2 linked regions of the Lepisosteus oculatus genome follow. The protein of the gene in region 1 purifies or fractionates together with the protein of each later gene. This does not show direct contact. Links are inferred from orthologs where the notes say so. Each region holds a gene or a part of one and is shown in the gene's direction. Other genes may lie near its edges.

Region 1 (3,754 bases):
TTTCCATGGTAGAAGTGTCTTTGGAGATGAACATGCTGCATTGCTAGATTCAGAAATCGCAACCCTGTTTTACTCAGTTAATAAATAGGACTGGATGCTGAAACATTCTCTCTCCATGAGGATGCCAAAAATCTGAAGTATTGTTGTTTCTTTGAAAAGTTATTTAAATGACATTGGTCAAAAGCCATCTGTTGAATCTTTTGTGGTCTTGCATTGCATTGTATTATTTCAGACTGTCATAGCTTAGAAGCATCATAGTAGAATTTTATCATCACTTTATAAGAAGAATTCTCTGAATGTTTTTTTTTATATTTTTGCTTTAATTATTTCTCTGGCAAAAAAAGTCTTACGGGCACATGACTAACCTTTTGATTTCCAACAGTGCAATTGTAGCAGATGTTTATTGTAACTGATTTAATTTTGTTCCCCATATCTTTCAATAAATATCAATTTTAGTGTTGTGTGTATTGTTTTGTGTTTAAACCTCAACAGCAATTCTGAATGGATGGTGATGAGACTACAGCTAACATTTAGAAATTAAGCTTAAACACACACCACTCACAAGGCCAGGCCTGGATACCCAACTACCTGAATATTTGCTTTTGTGTGTTAGCTGAATCAACATTAGCAACTTCCAGACAGAATCTTTTGCCGATACATTAAATACCATCAGTTCGTTTCTGACAGAAGAGACCTCACAGGACAGGGGTGTTGGTCACACATTTATTTTTGCGGGGGGTAGTCTGTCTAGCCTAAGGATCCCCATATAACTAAATTTGTGAACTCTTAATGTAAAAATGGGTTCAGCGTGCAAACCCAAAGACTACCGATACAGAATTGGCACTTACCATCTCTGTGAAGGTTATAGTTTTACAGCAGTATTAAAACAGTCTGTTACCTCTGTACTGCCTGGAGTTTTTCTCTGATGAATAGCAGAAATGGTTTTGCACAATGAAAAATGTTAAATGACCTCCAACAGCTCAAATGCAATGCGAAATGAATACCCAATATAGAATATGACTGCCTCGTTCATTTCTGACAACATCCCGCTGCTTAGTCGCTCTCTTCAATTTCCTTCTGCTGTTAAACCTAAAGGGCCGTGATCTTTTTAATACCATTTAAGCTACTGCATGTAAAATCAACTGGAAGCGCAAAAGCAGAAGTTTTAGAGATTTTAATCCGTGCCACAAAACACGATTTCTTGATTTTTAAAGTCATGGGACTTGGGAGAGGCTGTTCCTTCTCCGCGAGGCGGCAGCAGCCCCCGCGCGGCGCCCGAGCCCGCTCCATCGCGCGCAAGCCCAGCCCCACGCTCGGCGTCAGGCCGCGCGGCGTGCGCGTGCTTGCCGGCGCGACCGTGGCGATGGACGGCGGCGGCGTGCGGGGCTGAGCCGAGCTACACTACACTACACTGATCCGCACATGGCCGGGCGCAGCGCTTGAGATCGGAGTGCGTGTGGGTCCCGTAACACAACCGCGCCTAGCTGCCACTACCGCCTCGCCCCGCAGACGACAGCGCGATGGGCAAGAGCAAGAACAAGAAGTTTAAGCGGCCGCAGTTCTCGGCGGAGGGGCTGCCCGTCAGAATCGGCCAGGAGGAGGTCGAGGAGGACGGAGAGGCTGGAGAGGTCGACACCCCAGCCGGCGAGCTGCTGGACAAAGTAAGAGGTTTTCGTCTGGCGGCGGTGTCCGGCGGTGTCGAGGCCGGTTGAAACTAATGCATCTAATCGGCGTCACATGCTTCCGCTCGGCCCGGCTGTCCCCCAGTTTAAAAGGGCTGAGCGGAGGCACGTGCGATTAGCGCCCCTGCAGGGAAAGTTAGACCGCTTTCTCCTTTTAAACCACCACCAGCGCTTTTCTTCATCTTGGCGTGTCTGTAGTGGTTACAGAAAGTTCAGCGACATGTTGCCAGGCAGGACAGTTTGTTTAGCACACTACAAAGCGCGCTGGTATTCACCGACTCTTGGATTTGGGAGCTGGTGATTAATTCTCCTTCCTCTTCCGAGTTGTTTTCCATGCATTGGTACGCTCCTCCGTTAGTTTAGTCTAAACGATTTGAAACACGAAAAGATCATAAGTTTGTTCCAAACCCCAATAACTCTCTGTGTAAAGACGAGCCTTTGTTCTCATATTTAGATGCACTTAGTGTACACTTTTATCGCGATATTGTAACATCGTTTGCGTTTTTATTGTTCTCCCAAATTGTCTTGAAGATGATAATTGTATCAACATAAATACATGTTTTCTGTAAGTGGACTCAGCGCAGAACTAGTTTCCTCTATTGTATCTATATATTACTCTTCTGCTTGAATGTGACTCTGCACTTGTGGACATCAATCAAGTTCTCAAATTTCTCTGTCACTTCTTTAGTGTCTGCAAATTGATTAATTAATAATGATATACGGTCATGTGTTATTCATGACAGTCGTGGTGGGGTCCTGAGTTTAAGTCCGGACCTGGGGTGCTGTCTATGTGTGTGGAGAATGTGCCAACTCCTGTCCTCCCACAGTCCAAAGACCTGGCTTCTGGGAAAACTGGCCCTGTTCTGAGTGCGTGAGTCTGCGTTCGTGTCCATCTGGCCTGTGATGGACTGGCGTCCCACCCAGGGTGTTCCCTGTTTGCACCTGTTGCTTACTGGGATAGGCTCCGGCTTCCCTTAGACTGTGAATTTGATAAAGTGGATAGGAAATGGATATGATAAGATAAGATCACTTTATTGGAATATACAATTTCTTGCATTAGGAATTCGTCTTTTCGCATACCCTCGCCTGCTCTCCATGAGACACAGACAGGGAGAGAAGCTTGGGGTCAGAGCGCAGGGTCTGCCATTGTACGGCGCCCCTGGAGCAGCTGGGGTTAAGGGCCTTGCTCAGGGGCCCAACGGAGTAGGATTCCTCTGCCAGCCGCGGGATTTGAACTGGTAACCTTCCAGCCACAGGGGCAGATCCTGAGCCACAGAGCCACCGCACTGCCCCCGGTGGACGAGAGCAATAAAATAACTCATAGTAATGATCCGTCAAAAAGCCTGTTGCTGAACCAAGGCCTACAAGGTCTAGAACTAGAGCTCTCTTTGGGCATCAGTGTGCAGGAATTCAACGGACCCTGTTTAACTGGTTCAGTCTGTAAGGAAGTGGGGGCTCGTGTATAGTGCAGGTGTGTATTGGGTCTGAAGCGTTGCAGTTAGTCGTTAAGGATACATGCTGCAGTAGGGTAGAAACTGTTCTTGAGTCTAGTGGTCCGTGCTTTAATAGTGCAGTCCCACTTGCCAGAGAACAGTCTGTGGCTGGGATGGTTGGGATCCTGAATGATGATCGTTCTTTATTGCGACACCGGATGATGTGAATCTCACCGATTGATGGTAAATCACATCCTATAATCCTGTGCGCTGTTGCCACAACCCTTTGTAGTGCGTCTCTGTCATGCATGGTAATACTGCTGTACCACACAGTGATGCCACTACTGAGGACGCTTTCTATGGTGCTGCAGAAAATGCAGGCGCTGTTGTGCCTTTTTCAGACCGGCTGTTGTGACACCAAGCCAAGTCCGTAGAGATCTACAGACCCCAGGAATCTGAAGCAGCTGACAGTTTCCACTGCTGTACCCTCGATGCTGATTGGGGCGAGACTCCCTCTGGGTGTCCTGATGTCCACAATGAGTTCATTTGTCTTGGTGACATTCAGGGCCAGATTGTGGTCAAGGCACCATCTTATAAGGTGCTCCACCTCATTCCTGTATGTGGACTCGTTGTTGTTGA
Region 2 (3,626 bases), on another chromosome or scaffold:
TCTCCTCCTTGTATACACTACTTTAGTTACTAATACTATACTAATACTTTAGTTATTAATGCTATATCCTACAAATACTGCAGCTACACTGATCATTATCTCAGGCTTTCAGTCTTGACCAGCACCTGAGAGCCTTCCTGCAGAGAGGTAATTGTACTAAAAACCCCTCCACTCAAAAATCTTCAGATCAAATAGGCATAAATTACAATACCTTAGATTTACAAGGCTTTGTTCCCAGTGTAGGTTCAAATGTGAAATACAATATCTTTACAACAAAGGATGCATTTAGCAGCAGGTATGGTTGCTTGTACCTTCCTACAAATATCATGCATTTGTACAGATTCTGGAGCTGCTAAATGTAATACTTTATAATTATTAAAGAAAAAACAGCATTAATAGCCTGGATTGGCTTCAGATAGTTAACCTAGATCACAACAAAGTCATTGTATTGCTTTTGCCTCAGGGTGGGCAAATTACCATCACTCATCTTCCAACTGACTTGCAATATGATTAATCAATCAATATGATTAATGGCTTGTCAATACTCACCATCTGCTCCGAGCTGCTCTTTGATCTTTTCAAAATCAGATCCCCCAACTACTCCAACTCGCACCCTCTTTCTCAGCCTCTGAAGAAACTCATCCATGTCAGGGGTGACTTTCTGTGGAGGGGAAAGTTTCATAAGAATTTAAGAACGAAAAACCCTATTTTTAACTATTGATTACTGTTGATTGTTCAAAGAACTCTAAGTCAGTTTGCTTTTCCCTTTTCTTTCTGTGTTGTCTAAATATGTTCGTAAAAGCTAGCCAGAAACTAAAATCAACGGTGCCACTTCGACATCAGAGTGACTGGCTTGGAAAGATCAGAATGGAAACACGTCTTTATTTTTGCTGATTTAAACGTTCTCGTCATCCTCATTAATCCGCGCCTTCTGAAACTGAATACCCCAGCATCCCGCGACGACCCCTTCACATTTTCAGGATCATCTTTAGCTTCTCCAAAGAAGAACGAGCATTTCAGGAAAACCAGCTCGAAATATTTACAACTCACCTGTCTTGCTGCAGTTAGAGTCCCATCGACATCGAACAAGCAGAGGGTTGTCGTATCCTTCCCAGATGGTGCCATTTTCTTAACTGTCTGACTGCTTGTTTCAAATAATGAAAAGATAGTCTTGATTGTGATTAACGTGAAAATAAAGTCAAATATCACAGTCACACTAGACCTCTTCCACCAGGAAAAGATTACGTGTCACTCTGGGACATGTAGTACAGTTTCGGTTCACCATCGGCGGAAATGAGCTAGCGAGTCCGGATGTGGACTACAAAGACATTATTTTAGAGATGGTTGAAGTAACCGAACTCTAGAAAAACAATGTATGTCCGTTTTGCGGTTAATAGTAAGCAGTATCATATACACGATTTTGTTTGATTCAATAACGTTCTTAAAAAAATAAGGATCAGGGGGAATTCGATGAATTCGGTACTCTGTCGAAGAAGGCTTTGTTTCCCCCCGGAGCGTTTATGATGTCATCCCTCTTGGCTTGCAACTTCGGTCTGCTGTGATGGTAATTGACTTTGCACCATCGTTCCTTTTAATATCTGAAGCAATTACGTTTAGGATGATGCATTGTTTAGCAAATACTTTTATTATGCTCAGGAGGGTTGCTCTGATATGTGTGAAGAGACGTTTGTGATTGTGACACGTTTATTACAGCCCAGTCGAATAGAATACTGTTAGCTAGTTCACCTGTTTTGTGGTATTTGACATGTTAATCTTGGTCTGTGTCTTAACCTTCATGCTTGGGTTTATTCATTATTAACAATAAATTAGTCAAGTACACGAGTCTATAATAAGCAAACTTTTCCCCCGCTTATCTCCTTTAAAGTACAGATCAATACTGTCTCTGCGAACCGTTCGTGCTTCGCCGTGTGTGTGGCCCGGCGCTTCTGCTTCAGCGCATCGTGAGAGATGTCTGGTCGGTGGCCGTTCCTTCACCCCTCACCAGCACGAACGCCGTCCCCTCGCTTCGATGCAGGAACGCACAGTATGGACCACACTTAGGGTGCACAGCCAGCTGCTAACTGGAGCCCACCAAGACCGCTCCAATGAAAACCGCTCCAATGAGAAATTCTCCCTGATCTACAGGCTTCCAGCCATCAGGGTCCTCAGGGCAGTGTCCCGACTCAAGCTGCTCCAGACTGGGATCACCGTGGTTACGCTGCCTCCTGTATACTACCTGTTCTCGCAGGGACTGTGCTCCGGCACCCTCGTCAGCTACGCCACAGGCGTTGCTGTCTTTGCCACCGTGATGCTGTTCTCTTTGAGCCACTACCTCCGGCACATCATCGGGATGATGTACATTAACAACTCTAAAACCGTCCTGAAGGTATCCCACCTGACCTTCTGGGGTCAAAGACGGGATCAGTATGTCCCGGTGGCGGATATCATGACCCTCGGGGATACGGGGGACCCCCACAATGAGATGTTGCTGCGGTTTAAGCGCTACAGCCACCCTGAGGTCCTGTACTTCACCATTCGCCTGGGACAGGTTGTGGACAAACGGGCATTCGTGGAAGTCTTTGGTCCTGTCCCCTGACACTCCAAAGAAAGCATTGTTTTAAAATGGTTTCCCGGTGAAAGGCGAAGGATCGGCAGAATGAAACACTTGACTTAATCTGTCGGAGGAAAACTGCCACTATCCAGTATTGCAGTGACTAGAATCGTGGATGTTTTGGCTGGGAATGCCTGTAGCGGTGCTGCTCTTTGGCATTTCCTTACGGCCCAGCTTTGCAAATCGTTCTCCGGCCGGGAGGCTGATCTGTAGCCGCCGGGTGAAGATGCCGAAAAAGAACAGGACCTATCTGGGTCGGGGGCTGGACCTCTGACACTGTTTGCATATAGTGGTGGTATGTAATATAGTGTTGAAAAAAGGCCTTCTTGTGTGCTTAATTAGATCATGAATTAAAGTATGTGTATGAATTAAAGATTAATTTAACCCAAATTGACTTACCTAGCGCTATAAATGGGTACGAATGTATTTTATGGGAGCAGCACCTTTACCCATGGCTACACCAACAATGTCTGGCTTGGGATTTGAACCCATACCCTTCCGGTTACAAGGCCGGAGCCCTGACCGCCACTCCACACTTGAAATGGGATGTGCACGAGTGCTGCGCGGAAGAGAATCCTTTTTCTTGGGTTTCCTTGGTGCGACCGCGCTGCGGCCTCTACACCTGTGTGCTGGATTCGATTGTCCAGCTTGTCTGGGTCCTCGGCTACCTTGTGGGCGTTTGCCTGGTGCTCCCGTTTACTCCCACACTCCACAGCCGTGCCGTCTGCATGAATGGGCATATCTCAGTTTATAATAATAATAATAAACTTTATTTTATATAGCGCCTTTAAAGGTGGCTTTTCATAGCACTTTACAGAATGACAACAACAATAAATAAAAAGAATACACATGATAAAACACAATTACAATATATAGAGGAGACCGTGGATGGTGGTACTAGGAAAAGCAGAGGGGTGAAGAATGGAACCAGTTCAGTAAAGGCTTTTCTGGAGAAGAGGGTTTTGAGTCTGGATTTGAAGGAGTTTAGAGAAGGAGACTCTCTGATATCCTTGGG

The links. Proteins that work in one complex are often made in the same cells at the same time.
Region 2: the proteins of heatr3 (region 1) and tmem186 purify together in Homo sapiens (co-immunoprecipitation; 3 studies listed by BioGRID and IntAct, counting the BioPlex papers as one, with this or other methods). This does not show direct contact. The link is inferred for Lepisosteus oculatus from reciprocal best matches to the Homo sapiens genes HEATR3 and TMEM186.

What each region holds. Positions count from the first base shown.
Region 1 is NC_090715.1:1,959,551-1,963,304, forward strand, and holds the start of heatr3 (HEAT repeat-containing protein 3), read left to right. Parts: upstream 1-1,324; 5' UTR 1,325-1,520; coding exon 1,521-1,661; intron 1,662-3,754. UniProt on the Homo sapiens protein: Plays a role in ribosome biogenesis and in nuclear import of the 60S ribosomal protein L5/large ribosomal subunit protein uL18 (RPL5). Required for proper erythrocyte maturation.
Region 2 is NC_090714.1:13,665,508-13,669,133, forward strand, and holds tmem186 (transmembrane protein 186), read left to right. Parts: upstream 1-1,364; 5' UTR 1,365-1,561; coding exon 1,562-1,564; intron 1,565-1,885; coding exon 1,886-2,596; 3' UTR 2,597-3,001; downstream 3,002-3,626. Other genes in the region: pmm2 (phosphomannomutase 2), read right to left, coding at 550-661, 1,051-1,125. UniProt on the Homo sapiens protein: As part of the MCIA complex, required for efficient assembly of the mitochondrial complex I.